Arabidopsis thaliana: one gene and its partners. The protein of the gene in region 1 interacts with the protein of each later gene in a pairwise test. Each region holds a gene or a part of one and is shown in the gene's direction. Other genes may lie near its edges.

Region 1 (8,931 bases):
ACAAGAAAATCTAGCACAGTGGCCGTCGGTGATCCCCACACCAATGCATCTCAGTTCCAGATTGTCTTGGAAAAGTTCTCGTTTCTCGATGGTTTACATGTCGTGTTCGGGCAAGTTGTTGAAGGACTCGACGTGCTCAGGAGCATTGAAGACGAGGTTGGAACTTTGAACAGGATTCCTTCCAAGCCGGTGGTTATCGCAGACTGTGGTGAGCTCTGAGAGAGGCTACAATGGTGTCTTGTCTTGTTTTAATGGTTGCTCTGTTTTTGTTTTTAGTTCGTTTGGATTTTGAGTTTGGTGGTAGTTTTAAATCTGAAACAAAACAAGATTTTTTTCTTCCATATATGAAAATTCTGGACACAGTTTCAATGAGAGCAACCAAAATAGTTGAAGCTTGTTACATAAAAGTCAAGAGGATACAATGTTAAAGAACATATGAAGGAGACAAAAGAAACAAAGAAGAATAGTACGTACTCTCTCTGATTCAGTTCTGGTTTCCCCTTAACTCGTGGCTTTACCGGTAACTTTTTGGGCAATCCAACCGAGCCCATCATACAATCCTTCTCCAGTAACCGCACAACTTGCTTGAATATGCCAATCATGGTTCTTGATACTGTGAAGGTTAAGTGCATCCGTGATCTCAGCAGGAGTCATTGCGTCTTTCAGATCCTGTTTGTTTGCAAAAACTAGTATGACCGAGTTTTGAAGATCCTCATGACCAAGTAACCTGGCTAGCTCATCTTTCATGAAAGAGATTCTGGCTCTGTCTGTGCTATCTATAACCACAATCACAGCATGTGTTCCACGATAGTATGTTGCCCATGAAGTTCTTAGCCTATCTTGCCCACCAAGATCCCATACCTAAAGACAACATATCATAAAAGTAAACATCGCCTCAAATATTCGATTGCCAGTGTCCAACAGTTAGTTTTTGACAGGAAACAATTCAAACTTTAGTAAGTTTAGTTACGTTTATATTCATCATTGAGTTTTGACATATAAGAACACATGCAGATTGTCATAAAACAGAGATGAATTCATCTCAGGCCATGACTTTGACCACTGTATAAAGATGTTCCAAACAGTCCTCTGGCAAAAAAACTAAGCTAATGGGAAATAGCAAACAGTTCCTCCGGTATAACAAACAAGCTAGATAAACAACATCTACAAAAATTTACTATACAAAACCATAAATCGCACATACGAAAACGTTCATTATGAGTTTCTGACACCTTCTCAACCAATCATGACAAGAACTTAGACAAAAACATCATCCATTTTTCAACGAGAAAAATGCACACACCCAAGCAAGAAACATAGCTAGGGACAATAACACAATCAAAAGATGGCAATGGCAAATTTAAGAAACATCCATAAAGTTTCAAACTTCTAAAACACGTCCCTAGATAAGAAGCTAAGAAACAACTTCACCCAAATGAATAAAGAAAGAGTCCAGTACCTCAAAGCGAATATTCTTGTAGACAAGCTCTTCAACATTGCTACCAACAGTAGGATGAGTAGTAACAACTTCACCCAAATGAAGTTTATAAAGCGTCGTCGTTTTACCAGCATTATCCAAACCAACAACAACAATCTTATACTCTTTTGCAGGAAACATCATGAACCAAAACCTCGACATGAATGCTCCCATCTCCTCCAATTTCTATCACAAACAAGATCCTAATCAAATAAAACACATCATTACTTTTACGATCAAATTGTTCTACAAACAGAGTGAAATCGAGAAACCCTAAAGATACATCCTTTAAATTGACCCATCAATTTTACAAACCCAAGTAATTGAATCAGAGAAGCCCAGATCAGATTTGGATACAACGATCCCAGATTCGATAAAGTTAACCAAATCTAAATTATATATATACAAATCGGGAAATTTGTGATCAAACCTTGAATCAGCTAGAATCTGAAGATTGCAGAGGTAAGAATCGGAGATCAAAAAAAGTTCTTCTTCTACTATTTTGTAAGCTTTTGAGGTTCCTTCCTTAAAGCAGATGGGTGGAGAGAAGAAGAAGAAGAAAAGTATGCGGGAAACAATGTCAAAACTGTAAATATGATGATCTAAATTATTAATAACTTTTAATATAACAAATATTAAAATGAAAACTATATAGTAATGTTTTCTTTTACTTACCCAAACGGCTGCAGCCTCTACCGTAATGGCACCGAACACGTCACCGCCATTAGCCACGACGCCAAAGACGAACATTGTTGAAGACTTGAAATCCACAAAGATGTTTTTAAACGAGAAAAAAAAAAACTCAAACGGGCTTAGGGCCTTTCCATATATTTTAGATTATAACAATTACATTTTCTCGGCCCACAGAAGTATATAAAATTAAATAGAAGTAAATTATATTGAGGATTTAAAATAACAAATTTAATTATAATTTGAAATCATGGTTATAATACGATCGTGTGAAATGTTAATTAAATGCTTATATTGATTATTTTATTATTAAATTTGTGCTAATTTTGGTAACGAATCTTATTTTTGTTATTGTATACGATGATTTAAAATATATATATATATATATATATATATATATATATATATATATATATAATAGTTCTAGAAAAGTCTAATTGGATTTTTTAGATCCTATCATAGTTGATAGTTCTCTTTTTGTATATGGCTAGCAATGCGGAATCGACTCTCTACATTAGATTCAATGAAGGCTTGGAATGTGAACTTGAATCGAACATGTGTGTTATGTAACACTCTTATCGAGACACGAGAGCACTTGTTTTTCAGCTGTAAGTACTCGTCGGCAGTCTGGTCCTCCCTAGCGAAACCACTACTCTAGTGACGATTCTCTACAATATGGCAAGCTCTAGTCATTATTATTACTTCTGATCACTGTAACAGAATCCATATATTCTTCCTCTAATACAGTTTTCAAATAATGGTTCATTCGATTTGGCGAGAACGCAATAAAAAAAACACACAATAAAACTCTGATTCTTATCACACATCTTCCTAAGTGAATAGATAAGCTGGAAAAAAAAAAAACTCTCAATCATTTGAAAGGAGAAATATAGTAGATACGAACCAAATCTCCAAACATGGTTTGCATCTAAAAGTCCTTAAAACCTCTCTTGTATAATCTAATTTCAAAACAATTTTGGAAAAGTTACATTTGATGTATCCTAACTTTATTTTTTCTTGGTCGAATTTAATATTTTATTAAAAATAATAATAGTAATAATCACAAAATCTAATTTGATCATTCTTAGGTGGGTAGGTACACTTATTTTACATACAGCCTCGACGGCACCAAAACATAGAATATATATATAAATACAAATACAAATATTCCAAATATAACCTCTCTCCCAAAGTCCTATCATATCAGAAAAAAAAAAAAAAATCCAAATTCAACACTCTCACACTTCGATATCTCCGCCTTCATTCTCCTCAGAGCCAACTGTCCTGAGATTTCGATTTCGATTTCTCCGATCTCTCTTCCTCCGTCGCCGGCGAAACCATGTCTCAGTCTATTCAATTCTCCACTCCTTCACACACTCCTCACCTTCTCCATCTCCCTCACTCACAATTCAACCGTCCTCTCTCCTCTATCTCCTTCCGTCGCTTCCCTCTAACAACCATCAAATACACTTCCATCAGAGCCTCCTCGTCATCATCTCCTTCACCGGATCTCGATTCATCGTCCTCATCATCATCCTCGCAAGTACTTCTCTCACCTAACGGTACTGGTGCTGTGAAGTCTGATGAGAGATCCGTTGTCGCTACGGCGGTTACGACTGATACGTCTGGGATTGAGGTTGATACTGTGACGGAAGCTGAGCTTAAGGAGAATGGATTTAGAAGTACGAGGAGGACGAAGCTGATCTGTACGATCGGACCGGCGACTTGTGGATTTGAGCAGCTTGAGGCGCTTGCTGTGGGAGGTATGAATGTGGCAAGGCTTAATATGTGTCACGGTACGCGTGATTGGCACCGCGGTGTGATTCGTAGTGTTCGGAGGCTTAATGAGGAGAAAGGCTTTGCGGTTGCTATTATGATGGATACTGAAGGTAGTGAGATTCATATGGGAGATCTTGGTGGTGAAGCTTCAGCTAAAGCAGAGGTTGTTTAATCTCTTCTTATTTTGATTTGAATTCGATGTAGACATTGCTGTGTTTGTGATTTAGATGTTTAAGCTTTGGTGGTGATGACATTTTTACAGGATGGTGAGGTTTGGACTTTCACTGTTAGAGCTTTTGATTCTTCTCGTCCTGAACGTACCATTAGTGTTAGCTACGATGGTTTCGCTGAAGGTATATGCAATTATGTTTATGTAAAAGTGGAAGTGAAAACATTAGATGAATATTATGGTGACTGCGTATGAAATAGGAATCATTTGGTCTTTGTGTGTGGTGTAGATGTAAGAGTTGGGGATGAACTTTTGGTTGATGGTGGGATGGTGAGATTTGAAGTGATTGAGAAGATTGGTCCTGATGTTAAGTGTCTATGTACCGATCCTGGATTGTTGCTTCCTCGAGCTAACTTGACGTTTTGGAGAGATGGAAGTCTTGTACGAGAGCGTAATGCCATGCTTCCAACAATTTCTTCCAAGGTTTGTAATTTTGTATCTTCCCTTTAAGCTTTGAATTATGATTCACTTTACTTGGTAAATTTGGGAGGGATCAAAGCAATGGTGAAGATGTACACTTTTGGAAACTAGATGAGTCCATGTTAGCAAAACAGATGATACCTGAGGGAAAACATACTCATTTTCACTGATGATACCTCAATTCTTTATATTCAGGACTGGTTGGATATTGATTTTGGAATTGCTGAAGGTGTGGATTTCATTGCTGTATCGTTTGTCAAGTCGGCTGAAGTCATTAATCACCTTAAAAGTTATCTTGCTGCTCGTTCCCGTGGAGGGTAAGTAAACATGCTCAATATCAACACATCATACTACTGTACAGGAAACATATGATCTACTTTGGGATTGGGTTTTGCGTCATGTATTCACCATCTTTAGTTATAGTTTTATTTTGATGTTGTATTCAACTATGATGCAGGGAAATTGGAGTGATTGCAAAGATCGAGAGTATCGATTCACTGACCAATTTGGAAGAAATTATTCTAGCATCAGATGGGGCCATGGTTGCAAGAGGAGATCTGGGAGCTCAGATACCTCTTGAGCAAGTTCCAGCAGCTCAACAGAGAATCGTCCAAGTATGCAGAGCTCTTAACAAACCCGTCATTGTCGCTTCACAGCTATTGGAGTCCATGATTGAGTACCCAACTCCAACCAGAGCAGAAGTTGCCGACGTGTCTGAAGCAGTAAGACAAAGATCAGATGCATTGATGCTCTCTGGAGAATCAGCTATGGGACAATTCCCAGACAAGGCGCTCACGGTTCTAAGGACTGTCAGTTTAAGAATCGAGAGATGGTGGAGGGAAGAGAAACGCCATGAGTCTGTACCGCTTCAAGCCATAGGCTCTTCATTTTCAGACAAAATCTCAGAAGAGATCTGTAACTCAGCTGCTAAAATGGGTAAATTTAGGTTCTTTGTTTTCCATAGAAGGCAATATGTCTTTAGTGTCTCATTTTACTATCCAAAAACTTGCAGCTAACAATCTTGGAGTGGACGCGGTTTTCGTTTACACAACGAGCGGACACATGGCATCACTGGTCTCCCGATGTCGCCCGGACTGCCCGATCTTTGCTTTCACAACCACAACCTCAGTGAGAAGACGCTTAAACCTACAATGGGGACTTATCCCATTCCGTCTCAGCTTCTCAGACGACATGGAAAGCAACTTGAACAAAACATTCTCGTTACTGAAATCAAGAGGTATGATCAAATCTGGTGACCTCGTGATCGCAGTCTCGGACATGCTGCAATCAATCCAGGTAATGAACGTCCCGTAATTCTCTCTCTTTATACAATTTCGCAATCCCGCAAAAGAGTGTTTTGTTTCCTACTTTTGTTACTGTTTTTAGACTACTCTTACATTAGATTCCAGAGGCATCATCATCTTCGGTTTGTTAACAACAGTAATGTGTAAGCTTTGTTTGTAGTGTGTACTGTTTGTTTTTGGTTTTCAATAATATCAGTAATCTTATTCAAATATTCGATTCTATCATTTAGTCCTTTTGTTTTATCTTTTTGTTAGGATATATATGTAAACCCAAATAGGATGAGTTCGAATATATACCATAACCCTATATTATAAATAGTGTATATATAATCACAATTAGAATCGCCTCTCCATTAGAGAAGATATTTGAACAAACATGAAAAGTTGCAAGAGACCTCGGATGAAGAATCAAGAGAGAGATTTTTATGAAACTCCGTCGGATTGTTCGGAAGAAGAGATTCAACGGAGTTGCGAGTTCGTGAAAAAAGTTAAAGAGTTGGATGATAAGACAATCATCGTTAAATTTTTAAATGCAATGAAGTCTTATCGATCTAAGTCTTTAAGTTACATCGATCTCAAAACCAAAGTCGCTTCTATTCTTCGTAACCACGACGCTCTGCTCCAAGAATTCCATCAGCTTCTTCTATTAGATTCACCTATCACAGAGAAGGATTGTAACTCGGCAAAATCAGACGTAGAACGCACGGTTGAGTTGATGAAGAAAGTGGAAGGTTTGGGAAAGGGTTTACACGGTGCGTTCCTAAATCAGCTGGTGTTTGGCGGTGATATTGTGGATTTGGTTGAACAACTCGACGTGATTCTCTGCGATCACGCATCTCTTAAAGAGGAGTTCATATTGTTTCTAGTTGATTCCCGTTTACTCAAAAAACCGAAACGTGGTTTTGAGGCGGGGGCAGAAGAGTATAAGACTAGACTTGAAACTGAAGAGGAATTATCATCCTCTGATGAGTTTTTAAATGGGAAATACGTTTCAAAGAGTCAGTATGATCTGGATCAAGTGAAGAAGAAGAGACTGATGCAAGAGTAAGAAGACGAAGATGACTGATGCGAAAGAATTTAAGGTAAAAACGAAGCTATGACCGTCAAGAACTAAAGAGCAATGTGAACAAGTGAAGAGAGTTTTGTTTCTTTTATTTTTCTAGTCTTTTTTTTTTATTATTGATTTGTGGCTACATTGTGATTGTGATTGTGAATCTCGTTATGTTTCTTTGCATTCGAGTCTTCCAATGTTGTTTTCTATTCACCAAAAAAAAAAAAAAAACGTTGTTTTCTTAGGAGGGCGTAATGAATCCTTTTTCAAAGTTTTTATGCACACTTGATTTAAAAACGTGTTTAGGAAGTTTATGAAAACTTCTGATACACTTTGGTTATCAAAAAGTTCATGAAAACTTCTTAAAAGACTCTGATACCATAAACATAACAAACACAATGCCTTTAAATGTTCTTGTCCTTTTTGCCTATTTTCGTCAATTTTCACACTTAACACACTTATACATTGATGCCTTCTTTGCTTGCTACGTAAACTCGGGATTCTACATTCTAAGGATGACGGGCTTATTTTCTAATGTTTGGCCCATTTAGGCCCGCAGGTTTTAACCCAACATCTTCGAATATATAATCATCGTCAATATATTGCTTTTTGATGTTGTTATTGCTATGGACCGGTGAGAGAGATATATTAGTTCGCCCCAATCAAAGTTAAACCAAATTTTTTTGGTCGAGGCCTCGAGTGAAACAAAAAAGATGGTGCTGTGAGTTACAAAAACAATCACTTATTTGTGTATAATTTGTAGAACTACTACACTTATATGTTATTTTTTCCAAGAATATCTCTATTTTAGGTTCAAATATATAAATTTACCCTCAGAACTAGTTGATAAATTTAATTTAAAATAAATAAAAAGTGTTGATCGAAAGAATAAAAAAATCGTAGCTCTATCTCAAATAGTAATTTCTTTTTAAAAGTAGTATTTCTATTACAAAAAAAAAGAACAAATGTCTGTTTATCTTTTTGAAAGTTATTCAAAAAAAAAATTGGCAATTGATAAAATTTCTAAAATGTGATATAAACTACTTTTACGGACTTACTTGTCACAACGGTTCATTTTAATATCTTTCCGAAAGTTTTGGGGTCCTCTTGACCAATCGTTTCTATGTTCAATATTCCGAAATTAAACCGTGAAACTCACTCAAAGAATGATTTTAACTATTTTGCAACACCAATTTTACACTCCGACACTAATGAGAAACATATCAACATAATTGAATGCGTCAAGTATAAAAACTAAGCTGGTGGTTTAAATTAATCCACTAGATTAGAGAACGTAATTTTTATATAGTTTAGATTAAATTAATGTAAATCAAATAATATTGGAGGATTTGATCATATCTTCCCTTCTACTGTTTGCATCACTTAAACCAATGGTCCCATTTCTATTAAAATAGAAGCAAATGGACCCAATCATATATTTTAAATGCAAAAGACTCACAAGTTTTAGATTAATCATGAAACAGTTCAATAATTCAATTATTATATATAGTCAGAATAGGGACCTTTAATTAAGTAGTTAATACTTTACGGGTCCGAATTATAAAGACATATACAAACAATGTAATAAATTGATAATAGAGACAACAACACCAACAATAGCAAACAATAAATTAAGAAATTCTATCCATGTTATTGGCTGTGAATTCAACCACTAAATTATGATGAACATCGTACATATACCACCCACTTTTATGATAAATAACAAATGTATTATTGGAAATAATTTGTTACATTGCATGAGAAAAGTCTGTCTTTGGTTCAACTATTTTTAGGTTATCTTCTCTAAATACCTCAACTAATCAAAAGATCCAATCTTCACTAAATAAGCAACTCTCTTTAAAATGCTTCCTTTAGCAAATATGTATATACGTGCTTTGTTTTGTCTGCACAAATCTGAATTACCAGAAAAATAGGAATATTTTCAAAAGAAACAGCAACAAAACTCCAAAAACAAAAAGAA
Region 2 (6,256 bases), 7.9 Mb from region 1:
CATTCATTCAAGAACGAGGCGTGATTAATGAACAATGATGGGTCTGATTTGCAGATAAAACCGGATAATTACATTTTCCTGTACGGAGGAGATGACTTGGACTGGATAAGGAGATTCACAATGGCGGCCAAAGCAACGGCCAAAGATTCCAACGTGAACCTTGAGATGGCTTACGTCGGAAAACGAAACCATAGCCACAGGGAACAGATCAGGCGTATCAGTGAAGTAATCAGGTCTGAAAACCTGAGCCATAGCTGGGCCGAACCTGCCTTGATGTGGTTCTTCTGGACTAGGCTCGAGAGCATGTTGTACTCCAAGATTCAACTCGGTAAAGCCGATGATCACGACGATGTAAGAGTTGACTAGCTAGGGTTTTCAATTATTTCGGTTCGGTTCGGTTCAATTGGTTAATGAATGATTTTGTGTGTTTGAAAACGTTGATTAGGTGATGCAAGGAATCAAAAAGATACTAAGCTACGACAAGCTTGGAGGATGGGCACTACTGAGCAAAGGACCTGAGATAGTGATGATCGCTCACGGTGCCATAGAGAGGACTATGAGTGTTTACGACCGGACCTGGAAAACCCACGTCCCGACCAAAGGCTACACCAAAGCAATGTCCGACCACCACCACGATGAGGTCCTCCGTGAAACCGGAAAACCTTGCGGCCACTTTGATTTCCACATCACTGCTCGGAGCGGTCGGATTCCGGAGAAGATGAATTGCTTCGAGTGTCAGCGTCCGATGGAGAAGTACATGAGCTTCTCTTGTTGTCACGATGAAAAGCTCCACGAAGACGAGAACTACAACTTCTAAATGATGCAATAAGCTCACGTCTCTTCCCGCTGCTTTTTCTTTTTGTTTTACGTAATTTGAATTCTCTATATAGTTTTTCATAAATAATTTCTGAATTTCAATATCTTTGTATGAGAGAGAATTGGTCATTCCATGTGTGTGGTTTGGCCTTTGTGGGACATGTTCGATTGAAGTATTCCTAATAATTTTCAATAATTAACAATTTCTTCTCTTAATAGCATAGATAAATGTTGAATTTATTTTGTTAATAAAATTAACCCTGATGAATACAACAATTTTGAATATGTCAAATTAGACCAATTCAAAATATAACTATTTGCTTTCTTTCTTCTCATAATGTTTATATATCCCACTTTAGTAAATGGACCCCCACGAAGCACACCACAGCATACTCTTTTTTATTCTTTCCAGTTTCTAATGGTTTACTTATATACTCTTATCATTTTCTAATTGATCAATTTGTCATTTATTGGCTTATCTTCTTATAAATGTTTTTTGTGTTAGTTGTTGATATCTCATTTTCTTGTCCAGTGAATTATAGCATTTCAATGTGTCCCTCATGTCGTCAATATAATGTTTTATTTTCCTTGTTATGATCCATATCTTCATGTGTGGTCCATCTTCAAATAAAGAATGGATTGTTACTACTCTTATCGTTTGGGCTAGTTTTTATAATTAGACACAAAATTTGTAACTTTCATTCTTTTTTTAGTATTTAACACAAAGTAATTTGATGGATTAGTCTAAATAATAAAGGCAAAAAGTTAAGTAAATGTCAAAAGAGATATGGCATATGTCTAATCATAACCAATGAATTGCATGGTTCTATCTAAATAGCAACCATATCATCCCACATGCCATTGTCCACCTTGTCTATCTTAGGAAAACACTTTGTTTGTAACTCTATTGTACTCTTTGAATTATGAAATCTATGTAAACCCTTCTTATTGTGGGGGACAAAGGCTAATTTTAATGGTCTGTCCACTTCTGCTTGACTTTGATACATAAATTAGGGGTGGCTCATGTCATATCTATGAGAATTAGGTACAAAAGAGTTTTCAAATGAGCAAGTTGTATTTTTATTCGATTAGCCGTCGTATTATGTCAAATATAAGTTAAAAATATGTAAAAGTACAAAATGTAGATTATGATATTAGGGATGAATTGAGATAAAATTACCTATAATTTATTACTACGCATAATAAATAATTTGTTACGTTAATTCTCATAGATACGTTATAGCCAATACCGAACCCCTATTTAAGTCAAAAGTACTTCTAAGTATTTTTTAGCGTAAATCAATTTTTATGAAAAGCAACAATTAAGATTAATGTAGTAATCTAGTAATCGTTAAAAAAGCCACTTTGTTAGTATTGCTTAATACTCTCTCTCTCTCTCTGTTCCCAAGGAGATGAAAAGCTTCAATCTCAAAACATAGCAGCTCTCTCAATAAACCAAACCCAAATGCAAGCTGTGTAGAGAGAAACGGAGTGAGGAAGGAAGGAGATGGGAGGGGTGACGTCATCGGTGGCGGCGAAGTTTGCCTTCTTCCCGCCGAGTCCACCGTCTTACAAGGTGGTGACCGACGAGCTCACCGGACTGTTGCTTCTCAGCCCTTTCCCCCACCGCGAAAACGTAGAAATCGTAAAGCTTCGGACCAGGAGAGGCACAGAGATCGTGGGCATGTACGTGAGGCATCCGATGGCTACCTCCACGCTCCTCTACTCCCATGGCAACGCCGCCGATCTGGGACAGATGTATGAGCTCTTCATTGAGCTTAGCATCCATCTCAAGGTTAATCTTATGGGGTCTGTTTTTCTTTCTCTCCCTTTGTAATTCGATTGATTTTATTATTATGATGCTGATTTAAAAATGTTATCTTTGTATGCTTCTTTTGATTGATTTGGTATAGGATTTGCCCTGTTTTGATTCTCACGTTTCTAGCTCTGTTTCTAGTATTTGCTCTGTTTATGTTTGGAGTGTTTATTCACCACCCCAATAAAAAAGGAAACTTGGGCTAGGATCTGCTTGGAATCAATCAGTCTTTGATATTATTGGTTGTGATGTTGCAGATACGATTACTCCGGGTATGGACAATCTACTGGAAAGGTTTGTCCTTTACCCCATCAATCTGATTGGTCTGATGATCCATTATGAGTTTTAGGACCAACTCTCAAAAATCTTTCTTTCTCTTAAATGATTGATTGTAGCCGAGTGAGCATAACACGTATGCTGATATCGAAGCTGTTTATAAGTGTCTTGAAGAAACCTTTGGCTCTAAGCAGGAAGGTGTCATCCTCTACGGCCAATCTGTAGGCAGCGGACCTACGTTAGATCTTGCTTCCCGGTTGCCTCAACTTAGAGCCGTCGTCCTTCACAGCCCCATTCTCTCCGGTTTAAGAGTTATGTATTCCGTCAAGAAAACCTACTGGTTCGACATCTACAAGGTAGACCACGTACCAATTCTTTCTATTAATCCTACACATTCTCCAAATTGTAATGTAAGAAGCTTGTTGTGTGTGAGTGTGTGTTTTTCCGCAGAATATCGACAAAATCCCATATGTCGATTGCCCGGTTCTCATCATTCATGTAAGTCAGGTTTCAGATAGATACATTTTCGTTTGAATTTTTGATAAGCTTTTTGGATCCAAACAGTTTCAAATATGTGCAGGGAACTTCGGATGAGGTAGTGGATTGTTCTCATGGGAAACAACTATGGGAACTCTGCAAAGACAAGTACGAGCCGCTCTGGGTGAAAGGAGGGAACCACTGTGATCTTGAACACTACCCTGAATACATTAGACACCTCAAGAAGTTCATAGCAACAGTAGAGAGATTACCATGTCCGAGGATGAGCAGCGACCAATCAGAGAGAGTGAGAGATGCGCCCCCGAGGAGAAGTATGGACAGGAGAGTGAAGCCGAGGCAGAGCACAGAGCGTAGAGAGAAAGAGAAGCCACCAAAGAGTCAGTCGAAGATGAGTAGCAGCAGCAGCAAGCTCAAGATCTCGTTTGATCAACTTGATCGCTCGCGGAGGAGCGTTGACTGCCATGAAAAGACTCGGAAGAGCGTTGACCAGATTGAGAGGGGGAGGAAGAGTGTGGATAGGTTGGATAGAGTTCGCTCCGAGTAAAAACCACACACTCACACTCACACACGTATAATACGTATGTAGATGAAAAGAGTACATAACTGTTTCTATTTACCGAACAAAATAACATGTGGATGTCGCTCCTCATATTATTGATTTGTAATCTTTTATGCAATTTGGGATCTCTCTCGCCATCTCCTTTTGAATCAACAACCTTTTGTGGTGGGCTTGAATATCCATCCTCTGTTTTTAGATGAGTTTTTAGTGTTTGTGGTAAGTAGGAAAGTTCCAAAACAAAGATCACACATCTCATGTGGGCCTGAACTAAATTCATGGCCCAATCGTTTGTTCTTAATAGAAATCCAATTTTTAGGATCTCGCTATCTTTTGCTACGTACAAAAATTAATATATACAAAAAGTAGCTCACTTCTAAAATAAGGCTAATGGATGCCCATTTTCTTCTCAAATCCATCGATTTTCCTAAAATTTCTCAAATTTCAAAACATATAAATCCATCTCATTGTCCTCTTGTTTTCCTTCATCTGAAGCTTCTGCAGTATTCAAACAAATAAAATATACTGCTTTAGCTTTGGACACCTCCTCTTACTAATCTCTATAACTATATTTAAAAAGTAGAAAATAATGGCACGTCTATTTGTCGTAGTTGCCCTTTTGGCTTTGGCCGTGGGCACCGTATTCGCCGCCGATGCACCTTCAGCTGCACCCACCGCCTCACCAACCAAATCCCCAACCAAGGCTCCTGCCGCTGCACCCAAATCCTCCGCCGCCGCACCGAAAGCATCATCCCCTGTTGCTGAGGAACCCACCCCTGAAGACGACTACTCTGCAGCCAGCCCCAGTGACTCCGCCGAGGCACCCACCGTCTCCTCCCCACCCGCTCCTACCCCCGAAGCCGATGGTCCCTCCTCCGACGGACCCTCATCTGATGGACCCGCCGCCGCCGAGTCACCCAAAAGTGGCGCCACGACTAATGTGAAGCTCTCCATCGCCGGCACTGTCGCCGCCGCCGGATTCTTCATCTTCTCTCTCTAAGTTTTGTTTTTTAATTAAACTTGAGACGGAATCATAAGATTCACATTATGAGATGAGGCCGTATCTCTTTAACTAACTAACTATACTATATACAGTGATTTATATTAATCAAGAGATTGAATGGAGTTATTATTATTACGTACCGTTGTTGTACTATGTTTTTTTTGATTACGTAATTTTTGATGATTGTGAACTTATTAATGTTTATTTAGAAATTAAATGAAAAACAAATTTTTCAAAGAGGGCATTTGGTCTAGTGGTATGATTCTCGCTTAGGGTGCGAGAGGTCCCGAGTTCAATTCTCGGAATGCCCCCTTTCTTTCTTATTTTGTGTTTTCAAATCATATATAAACAAAGTTTACAAATATTCATACAATGCAATCTAGTAAAATTCAATATTCCTTCTTGGAATAAAACCAAATACAGTATGTCAACAATTCCAAACTAATCCTTTTTTGAGGCAATCCGGTTTTGATAGTTCTCCCCACAGCCACAGGCGCTAAGTCAGCGCAATATCTCTCTGAAAGATGATGATAGGGAGTTTCTGTAAGACCTCTCTGCTACTGTAACAGAGCCTACAAAGACCACACAGAGAACTCTCAGACACAGAAACGATGGCTACTATCTTTTTCTTTTAGTACTTCACACATACATTTGGCGATTAGTGAAAGTAAGCTTACTTTCTTAGTTTGGTCTGTTGATTTTGGTCTCTGTTTGTAGAAATTTGGAAGTGGCTTCGCTTTGAAGCATAGCCTTTGCCTTAGTTTACTCTCTTCCTTCTCCACACTCCTCTCCTCCGCCTTCTGGTTCTGTGTCTCCATTTCCTTGAATTTCCCCTCTAGCTTCTGAAACACAAGAACCAGTTAAATGATGGTAAGTGACAAGACAAAAGCGTAGAAACCAAAAATATCTCTATTCTTGCCTTTTTTCTTCTCTCTGCTCTCTCCTCTGTTCTTAAGCCAAACGGTGTAAAACAGCTCGGTGTCCTGCTTTTGTTTTCCAATAACTTGGTTAAAAAGGTACGTACACATTATACATTTTTGAATTGAGTAAACTCTTATGAAGATCAGTTCTTCTTACTCCGCAGGGAGGAAATTCCATCTTCCTCGACCTGTCTTGGCAGAAGAATTAGGAGCTATCTTCCCTCTGCACTTACTGTAACACCTGATTACTTCTCTAACCACTCGTGAATGAAGGAAGTAAAAAGAAGTTTTCTAAGAGTTAATTCAGTTTTTACCTTGTGTTACTCGATAAAGGTGTGGACAAGGAGTCTTCAACCATTCCCTTTGCAGAC
Region 3 (5,809 bases), on another chromosome or scaffold:
CGATGTTGTTGGAGAGCCAATCAAGGCCTTCATAGAGACCTTCTCCAGATGTGGCACAAGTGCTTTGAATGTACCTGTTAAAAGAAAAAAACATAAGATACATGTTATCACAATGTGATCAATCTAACCACATTTTTTTTTATTTTTCAATCTAACCACATTAATTAATGAAAAACTTTGTAGAAAGAAAATAACTTTACCAATGGCGTTGGCGAAGAGAGTGAAGACCAAGCTTATCAGTTATTTCTGCAGCATTCATTGCGTTGGGAAGATCTTGTTTGTTTGCAAACACAAGAAGGACAGCATCCCTCAGTTCATCCTACAAACATGGTATAAATCAAATTATAGGAAGTTGTTTCAGTCTAACTGTGTAACAAGAGAAAACTAGAAAGAAGGCAAACCTCATTCAACATGCGATGTAACTCATCCCTCGCTTCCACAACTCGGTCCCTGTCGTTGCTATCAACCACGAATATAAGACCTTGAGTGTTTTGGAAATAGTGCCTCCACAAGGGACGAATCTGTTTATGTTTTTACGGAAGTGCATTTTAATGTCAAATATCAGACAAAAAAAGAAGACGACAAACACTCATAGATACTAGACGTGGAGATTAAAATTTCAAATTGAGCTTGCACGATATGAATAACCAGGTTTTATGAAAGATCATTACTAGTCACACCAAAACCAGAGCAGAGCATAAAGCATCACGAGGACAGTATACCATAAACATGGCAAGAGTTAAATATGTACCTTGTCCTGACCCCCCACATCCCAAACAGTGAAGCTGATGTTCTTGTATTCAACAGTCTCCACGTTGAATCCTGGAAACGAAACCCTCCTTAACATTAAATTTTAAGAAACAAAACTTCCATGCAGAAGAGGATTACATAAAATCCGTAGCGGAGGATTACACACAGGTAAGAAACACATAAAATATTAATCTAAGTGTACACATCGACAGACACTGTGATTTAAGGAATCCTTAAACCTTACCGATGGTCGGGATGGTAGTGACGATTTCGCCAAGCTTCAGCTTATACAAGATAGTGGTCTTACCAGCAGCATCAAGACCTACCATCAGAATCCTCATTTCTTTCTTGGCAAAAAGCCGGCTGAACAACTTTGTGAAATTAAGCCCCATTTTTTTCCTTTAGCTAGCACCTACATCCAAAGCAAACCACAATACTCTAAAGAAATTCTCTGTATAACTGAAGACCAACAAAAGAAACACGAAACACTAAATCTTTATTGATAAACACGATCACGTTAACATTCCAAAAAACCTTAACAACAAAGTTCGTATAGATTAAAAAAAATATAGATAATGAGATCCTTGAACAAAGCCAAGTGACGAATAACACCTTTAGACCATGAACAAAAAGAAGAAGAACGTATAAACCAGATAAATCAATCGATCAATCACTTGATACTCTTAAGAAAGATGGAGATCAAAGACCGAGAAAATCAATATACCAGAGATTTTGAGAAACGATGATACAGAACTTGAATCGATGAATGGTGTGAGAGTTTGTTTACCTTTCGAAGAAGCTCCAAAGAAGGACCTGTTGTAGAGCAAGCCGCGAGTTTCGAAAGAGAAAATGTCTCTCCTCACAAAAGCTCTAATAATAGAATATTGGTTTTAAAAATCGTCCTTATAAAATATAAATATTTCGGAATTGCACCTTAAACAAAAGCAGAATTACAAAATGGTCTACTCAATCTTTTACTTACTCTCCACACAAAATTCAGTTTTTCCGCTTCGTCTGAAATTACTCTTCCTCTCTAGCCATGGCCGTCTGTAACTGCTTCCTCCAAGCTCCACCACTCTCTCGCATACTCCTACCGGTTTTATCTCGCCGAGCTACTACTCTCTCTGCCGGTTATGGTCGGCTCAAATCCACGGTCACGTTCTGCTCTACTGTGAACCGGACCAGTCCTCTGACATCTTCGGTCCGCGCAGAAGTAAAGCGCGTCTCGCGTAAAGACGATAAAGTAGCTTCAGGTAACAGACTTGCTTATCTATTATTGATTACTCTATGAGCATGTACTGTTTATGTATGATTGTAATTTTGTGATAATGTTGAAGCTACTGATGTTCAATTTGAGACGCCTTTGAAGATTGTTGAGTATCCGGATCCTATACTACGGGCTAAGAACAAGAGGATTGATATTTTTGACGAGAATTTAAAGAACTTGGTTGATGCTATGTTTGATGTTATGTACAAGTAAGTCCTCCTTATAATGTAAGTAACTTAGTACTTAATAACAGAGTGATACTGTGATTACATATGGCTATTGGACAGAACGGATGGCATTGGGCTCTCAGCACCACAAGTAGGTCTCAATGTTCAACTCATGGTGTTTAATCCAGCTGGAGAGCCTGGAGAAGGAAAAGAAATTGTCCTTGTAAATCCGAAAATCAAGAAATATTCCGATAAATTAGTACCGTTTGATGAAGGATGCCTCTCCTTCCCGGGGATCTATGCTGAAGTTGTTGTATGTCCACCCTTTCTTGACTGAATTACTTAAACCTTATTATTGCTCATTGTTTCTTGGAAACCGGTTCTTATGTGGTTGGTTTTGCTTTCAGCGACCACAATCTGTCAAGATTGATGCAAGGGATATTACTGGTGAAAGATTTTCAATCAGTCTATCACGTTTACCTGCACGAATCTTTCAGCACGAATACGACCATCTGGAGGTTTGTTCTCCACTTTTATTTTGATAACTTTGCTTGATTAAATATAGCAATGACAACACAGAAAGTACATCTATGTACAGTTGAATGGCTGCAGTCACTTATATTTTGATGTTTCGACATTGAAAAGTGTCATCATTTACTCACGGGCCTTATCTTCTTTAGTACTTTTGTTCACTTTTACTTGTTTTCATGGAGGTATTTTGTGTTACTGTATGTGAGTATCACTTTCAAGCTTTCATTTCGGTCTGATGGAACATTCTTCAAATTACAGGGAGTTCTCTTCTTTGACAGAATGACGGATCAAGTTCTTGATAGCATTCGTGAAGAGCTAGAGGTGAGTAAAACTGTAGCAGGGCAGAGTCTAAAGCTACAATAACCACTAGTTAAATTTCGTGGATAAAATTACCATTTGTATGTTAGTAGTGACTCGTGACTTTGGTGAACATCTTTTCATTCAGTAGTCTATTGTCTTAAAATGTTTGTTATCATCGTAATTCTATAATATTCCTGACAAGTTTTGTACTGTAGGCCCTAGAAAAGAAGTACGAAGAAAAAACTGGATTGCCAAGCCCTGAAAGAGTAGAAGCACGACAAAAAAGGAAAGCAGGAGTTGGTTTTGGCAAACGTTGATGAGACATTCTCGCTCAAATTCCTTTCATCTACGTGTAGGATATGAGTACAACTGTTTTTTCTGAGTTGAGGTTTTATTCTTTGTTCTCTTGGGTTTTTTTCCTGAAAAATTCTACTTAATTTCCACTGCAGGAATTTACTATGGTATAGGAAGCAGACAATGACAAGAGACACGTTTGCTTTTTAAATTTAGAGGAGCACATCACATTATGTGATGCAAATCTCCCAAATAGGATGTACGGTTGAGACACAGATCATATATTTCAGAATCTTATTTTGGTCTGAGTAATATATTTCTTCAGTTTGTCTGTCTTGTGCTGTTAGCTTGAGCTTTGGAACTGCGTTAAGAATGTTCTTGCCGACTAAGTTGAACCATGTCGTGGTTTATCCGTTGTTACAAAGTAAAATGCGTTAGTTGTTTACATGTGTTGGTAATTAGACTTTTGATATATTGTTTAGCTCTCATTTTATATACTTTCTTTGCATCCCTCAGATGACATTACTTTTCTTCGAAGAAGTATATTACTTGTGATGTGTTCTATCATAACTGGTCCAAATAGTCATAATTGTTAGATTGTTGCTTCACAGATGAAATCCTTCCTTAGGCTATGGGTTGGGACTAACTCAATAACTTCCAATTGTCTATAACAGAATGCAATACATTGCATGCCATATATTACATTGTGTTTGCAAATGATTTATAAAAACTAGTATAAGACAAAGGAAGGGAATCAAACCCTTCTTTATTCGTATAATGTGTGGCCTATCTTAACATTTCTACATAATTTCTTACTCTAATATCAGCAAGCATCATTATTAGACCGACTTGCAGCTTCCGGTGACTTTTCTGTTTTCAAACATTGTATTGGTGGAAGAGTTTTTGTCTTCAGTTCACCGTGTGCTTTCCAGCAGAAAGGATCAAGTGAACTTGCTTTTCCTGTGGCTGGCTTAAGCTCGATGGTCGACAGTGAGATTCCTGTGCATGGCAAGCTATCACTGCAGGCAAAGCGTACAGGTTCTTTGGTGTAGGTACCTTTTATGTTTATGTAGTTTATGTTTGATACAGCGACTGCTGAAGTTTCATTGTGGCATCCGCCACCATCGCAGTAATATTGATCTATTATTATTGGATTGGCTACGTTGCTGACTTGAATATTTGAAAACATAACTTGTTTTACAGACCCTGATCCTCCCTATCATTAAACATAACAGAAAGTTGTCAGCATCTTTGAATTGTTGTCGCATGCTTTTTTTCAGCTGTCTTTACCTCTATTCTGTTATGCAAATAACAGAATTTACCTGCCAGGACTTTATTCGAACACCATTCGTAGTTTCATGCATCGTGACATCACGGACAGTGATGTTTGAAACACACGCCTTTGTATTGTCCTTTCCCAGTCCTCCAATGCTAATTCCATGGCCAGGGCCACAGTCTACATCGTGTATGTTGATATTCGAGCATCCCGTTTGAATTGATATACAGTCATCTCCTGTAGAATGAAAGGAATTGTTATTTCTTCATCGTGGTAAGTTTCATCATAGCTTCAATAAGTAGAGTCTGTGGTTACCACAAGCCAGCGTGCTGCGATATATAACGGCATCTTGAGAGTTTTGCAGGTGGATTCCATCTGTGTTTGGGGAATCTCCAGGGGATGAAGTTGTGAAATCAGAAACTTGGATGCTTATGCAGTTATCAAACTTGAGGTGGGTTTGAGGGCTGTTCTGTATGGTTATTCCACTGACCGTAACACCGTTACTCCCGTAGAACCTCAAAGCCTACATACCAACCATGGTGAATCCAAAATAAATGTTGGTTTTAATTTGGCAATATCCATGTAATTTACTCAGGTAAAACTTACTGTTGGTTTGGTCCTTGGCATTTTTGTACCCATCTGTCACAGTTGAAAAAGAACGTTAGCAGATGTCATTGCAAGCTTTCACAATTTTGTTTAGCCAAGAAAATTGAATTAACTGTTTACCATGTCGTTCCACCATACTGATCCTCGTCCATCGATGATCCCTTTTCCTTTTATAGTGATTCCTTGAAGTGCTTTGAATTCTATCCATTGCAAGAGACCTGATCCCCATGCACTAGCACTCGTTGGAGCTATGATCTTTCCTTCTAACTACACAGTATCCAAATACATCAGTCACGATTATATAACTAGAAATGCTTGATTAACATTTTTTTGTTCTTGAGTAAATTACCTGAAAGACGATTTTCTCTTTACATTCTTTTCCCAGGAAGGAAACAGGTCCAACAAGGAACGTAGAACCAGATGGAACTAATAATGTTGACGCTGCCACCTTACAAGCTACCTGCCAAGCATCTTCAAAAGCCTGCGATACAAACGGTTCCATTATATATCGATGAGACGGATAGAAACGCAGCTAAACAATAGAAATGCTCACTTACCTTTGTGTCATCACTTGTCCCGTCACCTTTTGCGCCATGGTCAAGCACATTGATTGTTCCG

What was found. Proteins that work in one complex are often made in the same cells at the same time.
Region 2: the proteins of PKP-ALPHA (region 1) and AT3G01690 interact in a two-hybrid assay, tested with the Arabidopsis thaliana proteins (one large-scale study listed by BioGRID).
Region 3: the proteins of PKP-ALPHA (region 1) and PDF1B interact in a two-hybrid assay, tested with the Arabidopsis thaliana proteins (one large-scale study listed by BioGRID).

The regions. Positions count from the first base shown.
Region 1 is NC_003074.8:8,135,863-8,144,793, forward strand, and holds PKP-ALPHA (Pyruvate kinase family protein), read left to right. Parts: upstream 1-3,322; 5' UTR 3,323-3,506; coding exon 3,507-4,109; intron 4,110-4,208; coding exon 4,209-4,299; intron 4,300-4,404; coding exon 4,405-4,598; intron 4,599-4,790; coding exon 4,791-4,912; intron 4,913-5,052; coding exon 5,053-5,531; intron 5,532-5,607; coding exon 5,608-5,909; 3' UTR 5,910-6,190; downstream 6,191-8,931. Other genes in the region: ARFC1 (ADP-ribosylation factor C1), read right to left, coding at 502-861, 1,460-1,651; AT3G22961 (Paired amphipathic helix (PAH2) superfamily protein), read left to right, coding at 6,276-6,947.
Region 2 is NC_003074.8:254,430-260,685, forward strand, and holds AT3G01690 (alpha/beta-Hydrolases superfamily protein), read left to right. Parts: upstream 1-1,865; 5' UTR 1,866-2,323; coding exon 2,324-2,625; intron 2,626-2,889; coding exon 2,890-2,926; intron 2,927-3,027; coding exon 3,028-3,264; intron 3,265-3,358; coding exon 3,359-3,406; intron 3,407-3,488; coding exon 3,489-3,950; 3' UTR 3,951-4,267; downstream 4,268-6,256. Other genes in the region: SEOR1 (sieve element occlusion amino-terminus protein), read left to right, coding at 55-351, 446-817; AGP11 (arabinogalactan protein 11), read left to right, coding at 4,552-4,962; AT3G01710 (TPX2 (targeting protein for Xklp2) protein family), read right to left, coding at 5,562-5,807, 5,885-5,948, 6,043-6,108, 6,200-6,256.
Region 3 is NC_003076.8:4,724,652-4,730,460, reverse strand, and holds PDF1B (peptide deformylase 1B), read left to right. Parts: upstream 1-1,714; 5' UTR 1,715-1,789; coding exon 1,790-2,003; intron 2,004-2,087; coding exon 2,088-2,226; intron 2,227-2,304; coding exon 2,305-2,497; intron 2,498-2,591; coding exon 2,592-2,702; intron 2,703-2,973; coding exon 2,974-3,036; intron 3,037-3,230; coding exon 3,231-3,332; 3' UTR 3,333-3,367; exon of another isoform or gene 3,368-3,422; intron 3,423-3,464; 3' UTR 3,465-3,820; downstream 3,821-5,809. Other genes in the region: ARFA1B (ADP-ribosylation factor A1B), read right to left, coding at 1-74, 201-319, 402-521, 752-822, 995-1,142; AT5G14650 (Pectin lyase-like superfamily protein), read right to left, coding at 4,133-4,525, 4,632-4,822, 4,901-5,108, 5,192-5,224, 5,312-5,458, 5,541-5,672, 5,749-5,809. UniProt on the Arabidopsis thaliana protein: Removes the formyl group from the N-terminal Met of newly synthesized proteins. Has a preferred substrate specificity towards the photosystem II (PS II) D1 polypeptide.